Oryza sativa Japonica Group: one gene and its partner. The protein of the gene in region 1 interacts with the protein of each later gene in a pairwise test. Links are inferred from orthologs where the notes say so. Each region holds a gene or a part of one and is shown in the gene's direction. Other genes may lie near its edges.

Region 1 (3,753 bases):
AGCATATGTTTAGAACATATTTAGTTACAAAACTATAACGTTAATAGCTCCAACGTGACAATGGTGTTAGGATTTAAAGTAAAAAAACTTATATAGTTTTGTTATAGCTTCAATATTAAATATCGGGTGATTCATAGTTTCCCGATAAATTTAATGTTAAATACTATATAATTTACCTATAAAATGAGTAAAACGGAGGGCCCAGGAAAGAGAAGGCGCCTGTGGCCTAATGGATAAGGCGTCTGACTTCTAATCAGACGATTGTGGGTTCGAGTCCCACCAGGCGTGTCTTCGTTTTGGATTCTACTAATCCTATTGCAACTGTTGCTCAGTTGGATTATGGCTTATAATCGTTGTTTAATTTCAAAACCTGAGCGTAAGTTATATTTGAAAACATGTTTGATCACTAAAGAAATCAGAGGAGCACTAACCATGGTGCATTGACTTTTGCTTAATATTATTTCAACTCAAAATGATTTGCTACACCTTTTATTTTCAAAAATTTACATAACAAATTTTCAAAACACACACACAAATAGAGAAACTGTGCACCATTGGTATTTAATATCCTGTACTATTGGTGTACCTATAAAATTTAGAACAATCCATGCCATCCGTTTTAGGATAACTGTACACGATACATCATTATATATTCATATGGTAAGGAATCGCAAAATTACAATATTATAATCTTGAGAGGTCATAATCAGGAAAAAAACCGTCACCCACACATTGACAACACCAAAACACATACCCGAGAGAAGGCTAACACCAAACCGACTATCACTAGACCAACAAAGTACCTACAACCGAGATCGCTCAAAACCTATCCCTAACACTGACACCAAATCTCACCGGAAGATGTTTTTGGTATAATGGTTCTTTTGGAGCTGTTTTTTTTTGTATATACATGGGAAAGGGAGAAATGAGAGGATGACGACTGTGCTTTTAAGATAGTAATAATGTAACAGCCAAGTATGCCGACCAACTTCGAAAAAGTTTAAACAAAATTTTTAAAACTTGTTGTAAAATTTATCCAGTTTCTCGGTTTTTCACGATTTTTTTGGGGCCATCCTGCCTACCTGCCGGCCCAAAATCCTTCACTCCTCCAGACTTTGCAAAACCTCCCCACACAAAAGAACCAGAGAGAAGAGGCGGGAAGCGAAGCCGCAGCCCGCCACTCGCCTCCGCCCTCCGCGCGCGCGAACCCCTCCCTCGGCGGCGGCGACGACCAAGGCGGCGGCGGCGGCAGCGGCGCAAGAGGACGCGGTAGCCCGATGGCGCCGCTCGTGCCGTCCTCGCAGCCATGGGTGGAGAAATAGTAAGCGCCGCCCTCTCTTCCCCTCCCCCACACCATTTTCCTCCCTCAATTTGTCGATAAGCCCTCATGGATTGCCCTAGTTGCGACTGACTGACCCCGCTGCTCATCCTCCTCCCGTTCGCAGCCGGCCGAGGCAGGTGAAGGATGTCGCGCACCAGGAGGAGGTGGTCCGGGTGCTCACCACCACCCTCCAGACCGCCGACGTGAGCCGCGGGCTAAACCCTAGCTCTGTTTCTTTTTTTTTTCTCTTGTGACCCCCTGGGAGGTTTCTGATTTGTGATCTGGTCCCTTTGCAGCTTCCGCACATGCTGTTCTACGGCCCGCCTGGCACCGGGAAGACCACCACCGCGCTTGCCATTGCTTACCAGCTCTACGGGTAACTCAATTCTTGTTGGCAACTGTTTACTTGAATTTTTCTCTTTATGAGAATCTTGTTTTGGTTCGGTTGAAATTGGCTTATCTTAGTAATCTTGGAAGAGGTGGTAATTCTCAATGCAATGGGAGCATTAGATAGGCTGCGCTGGGGGTGAATCACTTAACTTTTGAGACATTAGAATTGATAACCTTCATTATCTTGGGTATTTTGTTTATTTTGGCAAATATTGGTATACATCTTTGTAGGCAGGCGTTCCAAAAGTGGGTACAATTAGTTTGATGACATGGTTGATCCTAGTCCTGCATATTACAATACTAATCGGACCACTGGATCAATGTGTTTGAATGATGTATGGTGAAATGGTAGTTCAAGTTTAAAATTTGGATTGTTGAAATGTTGAGATCTGTTATAATTTTGTTCACTCATCAGCCATTTTCATTGTTTCTGGGCTAGGTAATTTATTCTTGCATCTCTCACAGGCCCCTTTTTTCTTGTTGAGTTGTTACCACTTCACTTGCTTGATTAGAATCTCACTTGCTTGATTAGAATCTATTCGATGTGTGTAATGGTTCATGTCTTACCAATGATAATTGGAGGCGGTCAGATGTATGGAGGGAAATCTAGAGAATCAAAATTTTCATGTGGAATAGCACATATGAATTAAGGGAAAAAATAATACTGAAACAGTTTGTTAGGAGGAAATTTGATTAGATTGAGTAGTAGCGAAGTTTATTCTCTTTTTTTTTCAACTGATAATGAGCACTATAGTGATTGAGATTATCTGTCTGCCAATTTTGCTCTTCTAATATGGTGGTTACTTCCTAAATTCATTTGCAAGAAAAACCCCATTCTAATCATGACTACTAAATAATGAAATAACATTAAGAGGATATGTTTTCTGCAAATAGTGCAAGGTTGTTCTCAGTAAGTTTGGGACTCATGATAGTTTTTTCGTACTATTTGGATGATGCAGTCCAGAGCTCTACAAGTCAAGAGTTCTAGAACTTAATGCTAGTGATGATCGTGGAATTAATGTGGTGAGGACTAAGATCAAGGACTTTGCTGCTGTTGCTGTTGGTTCTGCACGAAAAGGGTAATTTAACCAAAACTAGGGACCTTTCAGTTTCCATCTGTAGTTGCATTCTTGACTAGTTTGTTTTTGCGATGGCCTTCAGCGGTTATCCCTGCCCACCATACAAGATTATTATACTAGATGAAGCAGATTCGATGACAGAAGATGCCCAGGTATAGACAACAGGCAGAACGCTAAAAGCCTTGTTGCTGCAGAACCGTGCGTTGATGATGTCTTATATCTGTCTGTAGAATGCTTTAAGGCGTACTATGGAGACTTACTCCAAAGTGACAAGATTCTTTTTCATATGCAATTACATCAGCAGGTATTAGTTTGTTTCTCCTTTTTTCCCCCTGTGGATCTTTATTTGAGTTTATGTAATTCATTATCCTAATGTGTAATACAGGATAATAGAACCACTTGCATCAAGATGTGCAAAGTTTAGATTCAAGCCTCTTTCAGAAGAAGTAATGAGCAATCGCATTTTGCATATATGCAATGAAGAAGGGCTCAGTCTTGATGCTCAGGTAACTGTACTGCATTCACTTCAAAATCTAAATCTACATTTAAATATCCGCATTTTTGCTAACACTCTTTTTATTTTTCATAATAGGCATTGGCTACACTAAGCACCATCTCTAATGGTGACCTCCGCCGTGCTATAACCTATCTTCAGGTATGGTTTATCTAGTTTGGCGTTTGCATTATGTGGTTTATTTATATTAATCTTAATTTAATATACCTTTTGTTTTTTGTTGCAGAGCGCTGCTCGCTTATTTGGATCTTCTATTTCTTCTACTGACTTGATTAGTGTTTCAGGGGTACATTACCACTCATTTCTGTTCCCTTGCAAATGCCTAAACTTACATGTGTCATTTATTTTGCTATTCTATGTTTGAGTCTGTACAAAGTCACGCTTACTTGATGACATTGTTTTCCTGAAAGTAGCAAAGTGGATTTTGCACCATTTTGTTAACAAGATCC
Region 2 (3,655 bases), on another chromosome or scaffold:
TTAAAACGCATGATAGTTGCCTTAACTTCCATGAAATTCCTTTAATTAAACATCACCTGTCGATCATTCTCCGATCATACGTGGTACTCGAGTGATTAGCCTTAGTGATTGCACTTATCATTGACGGTCCTGCGGTAATCAAGAATAAAATAGCCTATCAGTAGTTGGCACGGGGAATCTTCGAAAGGAAATCCAAAACAAAAAACAAAGAAAAGATGACAAAACGAGACCAAACGCGGGATCAACATCACCACAGTCCAGTCAAATTCAAATCCAGCCTGTCAGCGAACGCAGCCACTGACATCGCGGGGCCCCACATATAACCAGCGGGCGGGGGGTCACCGCTTTTGAACCGTCAGCGTTGCCGCATTCGCACCGTCTCCGCCTTCATGGCCTGTTTATTTCCCGCACTAAAATTTTTCATCCCACATGAAGTATTTAAATATAGACTAAAAAGTAACTAATTATACAGATTGCGACTAATTTATGAGACGAATCTTTTAAGTCTAATTGTTTCATGATTTAACAATGGATTAATTAGACTTAATAAATCCATCTCGCGGTTTACTAACAAATTATATAATTAGTTTTTTTATTAGTGTCCGAACACTTCATATGACATACTATATAAATATAATAACCAATGTGGTACGCCAAAATTTTACGCCACAAATCTAAACACCCCCTGAGTTTGACGCCTATAAATAATAAATTCCAATTTCCAAACCCAAACCAAACCAACCCAGGCAGTCCACGCGCTAGTGTGAAACCGCCACCGCCAACCCAAACCAAACAAAGCCGCGCCGCCGATCTCGCCATGGCGCAGCAGCAGCCGCGGCGAGTTCTCCGCGTGGCGCCGCCGGGGCGAGGAGGGGCGCGCGCGGAGGCGGAGCGGGGGGAGGAGGGGGAGGCGGTGTTCGCGACGGTGCAGGCGGCGGTGGACGCGGTGCCGGTGGGGAACAGGGTGCGGACGGTGATCCGCCTCGCGCCGGGGACGTACAGGGAGCCCGTCTACGTCGCCAAGGCCAAGAACCTCGTCACCCTCTCCGGCGAGGCCGGCTCGCCCGAGGCCACCGTCATCACCTGGGACAACACCGCCACCCGCATCAAGCACTCCCAGGTTAGTACGCTCGCCTCCTGCTCGATGAAATGCCAAACTCGGAGATGGCCTTGAACAATTTTAGTGATTCTCTTCCCGATTATTGACAGGTCCCGAGAAATTGTTGGTGTATGTAGCATGCGTTGCGTAAATTATTTGGAGAGCTTTTAGAATGGTTTGTTTGTTTGATTCGTTCATCCCGTCATTGGCTATAGCTAGGATGGTGAGGCACTGACGCATTAAGAAATGTCTGGTGTGCGTTTTATTTATGTATATCCCTGTGTACTGAGCACACTGGTTTCGGATGACACCCCCATATCGATCCATTTGGAGTATGTTAATATGAATGGATAGGTGGTTTGAGCAAATTGTATGTTAAATTATTGTACCTCTGTAGTTTATTATGTGTTTATGAGGAAGGGGTAGGTGCAGAGAACTTCCAACTGAGGTTTACAAGACTTCTTCTCCAAAAGCAATGAAAGGAACTTTACATTTGAGCTTGTTAGAAAAACATTTGACGTTTTAGTAGACGAGTCCGTAACTGCCCCCTAATTTTGACTGCAGATGTTAAGTGCTGTGTACTTTGAATAGTTATGCTTATCTTTTTAATTTAATCATTCTGTCCTTTTCTCTTGTAAAGTCGTCCAGGGTTATTGGGACAGGAACGTTTGGATGCGGAACAATTATTGTGGAGGGGGAGGATTTCATCGCAGAGAATATCACATTTGAGAACTCAGCTCCTCAGGTGCTTGTCTTTGCCTTGTTCTTTTTTCTTTTGACCAAACTTGTTCTTCTTGCATAGAGAGATGCATGTGTGATGAGTGGGTGCAGAAAGCTGATGTGCCTGTTGTGGTGTAGGGGTCTGGGCAGGCAGTTGCTCTCCGAGTAACAGCAGATAGGTGTGCCTTCTACAATTGCAGGTTCCTTGGTTGGCAAGTACGCTCATTTATTCACCTCTTCATTAAATCGTTTCATTCAGCGAAGCTTTTGTTAATTTATGAGGTTGTCGAATAAAACATTCAGGACACATTATATTTACATTATGGAAAACAATACTTAAGGGACTGTTACATCGAAGGTAACTGTGACTTCATCTTCGGCAACTCTATTGCCCTGTTGGAACATTGCCATATTCATTGCAAATCAGCGGGTTACATTACTGCTCACAGCCGGAAATCCTCATCAGAAACTACTGGTTATGTGTTCTTGAGGTGAGTTGTTTCATTGTATGTTTACTTAGTCCGTTAGGCCATGCTGTTCATGGCTGAAATTTGAGTTTCTCATTGCTTGTGTAATAAGATTGACATGTAAGCTTGATCATTTTCAATGTGCCTTTCTTGCTTTTGCTTGATGTGATGCTTGGACGGATGAACACATGCAGGTGTATTATTACTGGAAATGGAGAAGCTGGATATATGTTCCTGGGTCGGCCTTGGGGACCGTTTGGAAGGGTTGTCTTTGCGCACACTTTTATGGATCGTTGTATTAAGCCTGCTGGGTGGCATAATTGGGACAGATCTGAGAATGAACGAACTGCTTGCTTCTTTGAGTACAGGTATTGGAACCATCAGTATTCAGAGATTCTTCTCTTACTAAACTTCCATATTATCTGTGGACTTGTGCTTATCGATCATTCATGAGCTACTAGAAGGCATTAACCCTTTTTTTTTTACGCAGGTGCTCAGGGCCAGGTTTCCGCCCATCAAACCGAGTGGCTTGGTGTAGACAATTGCTTGATGTTGAAGTGGAGAATTTCCTTTCTCACTCTTTCATTGATCCAGACCTTGATAGGCCTTGGCTCATCCAGATGATGGCAATAAAAGTACCAGTCTCAGCATAGTCTAATCCCAGGATTGTAGTTCATCCCTCCTCCCTAGTCTATCTTATAAATAATTTTGGAGGGTGTATTATAAGTGTAACATTTGGTCAACTTGTGCCCACGCAATTGTATTGAGGAGAGATATTTGTTGTTTTCCATGAGCCTTGTCCCTTGAGGACTATAAAGGAATACGAAATTAAATTATTTGCTCTTTCATTGACGTGATATTGTTCATGCTGCTATGAGTCATGCGGCCTTTCTATACTATGGGAATGTGTTAACATAGAGGAAATGGCATGGTCCGTCAGGTTTTAACATTTATTGTGGTACTTTGAAATGGGACATGTGGAATAATACTAGCTTTAGTACATAGTAGAAATGCCATTTTCCACCAAATTTTTACTGATACATGTTGCTTCCTGTCTACAGATCACTTTTGAATGCAGTTCATCTAGAACAAACACAGACTGAACAAGTTCGAAAAAATTGTACCAATATTTGACTGAACAATTCTGATCAGACTATGAAGGACTGGTTTGATCCAACAATGAGGTACACAAGATCCCTTGTTTTCCCTTTGAATTTGGGCATTTCTAGAGGAATTCTATATGATTTGTACCATTATTTGCAAGATTCATATGAAATTTTTGCATCTCCAGATGGGCCTAAACCTTGAGAAGCAGTACCAAACACGGCAACATCATATTAAAAAGTTGCACTTGCATCTATATTTCTTC

Evidence for each region. The genes of interacting proteins can lie anywhere in the genome.
Region 2: the proteins of replication factor C subunit 2 (region 1) and pectinesterase 31 interact in binary tests that used the Arabidopsis thaliana proteins (3 or more experiments, as listed by UniProt). The link is inferred for Oryza sativa Japonica Group from reciprocal best matches to the Arabidopsis thaliana genes EMB1968 and PME31.

The regions. Positions count from the first base shown.
Region 1 is NC_089046.1:3,901,286-3,905,038, forward strand, and holds the start of replication factor C subunit 2, read left to right. Parts: upstream 1-1,156; 5' UTR 1,157-1,277; coding exon 1,278-1,321; intron 1,322-1,445; coding exon 1,446-1,524; intron 1,525-1,617; coding exon 1,618-1,697; intron 1,698-2,670; coding exon 2,671-2,790; intron 2,791-2,872; coding exon 2,873-2,942; intron 2,943-3,020; coding exon 3,021-3,094; intron 3,095-3,175; coding exon 3,176-3,296; intron 3,297-3,382; coding exon 3,383-3,445; intron 3,446-3,530; coding exon 3,531-3,590; intron 3,591-3,753. UniProt on the Arabidopsis thaliana protein: May be involved in DNA replication and thus regulate cell proliferation.
Region 2 is NC_089044.1:14,590,820-14,594,474, reverse strand, and holds pectinesterase 31, read left to right. Parts: upstream 1-729; 5' UTR 730-817; coding exon 818-1,120; intron 1,121-1,739; coding exon 1,740-1,844; intron 1,845-1,957; coding exon 1,958-2,035; intron 2,036-2,122; coding exon 2,123-2,310; intron 2,311-2,480; coding exon 2,481-2,654; intron 2,655-2,776; coding exon 2,777-2,939; 3' UTR 2,940-3,134; downstream 3,135-3,655. UniProt on the Arabidopsis thaliana protein: Acts in the modification of cell walls via demethylesterification of cell wall pectin. Acts in a blockwise manner, resulting in a cell wall rigidification.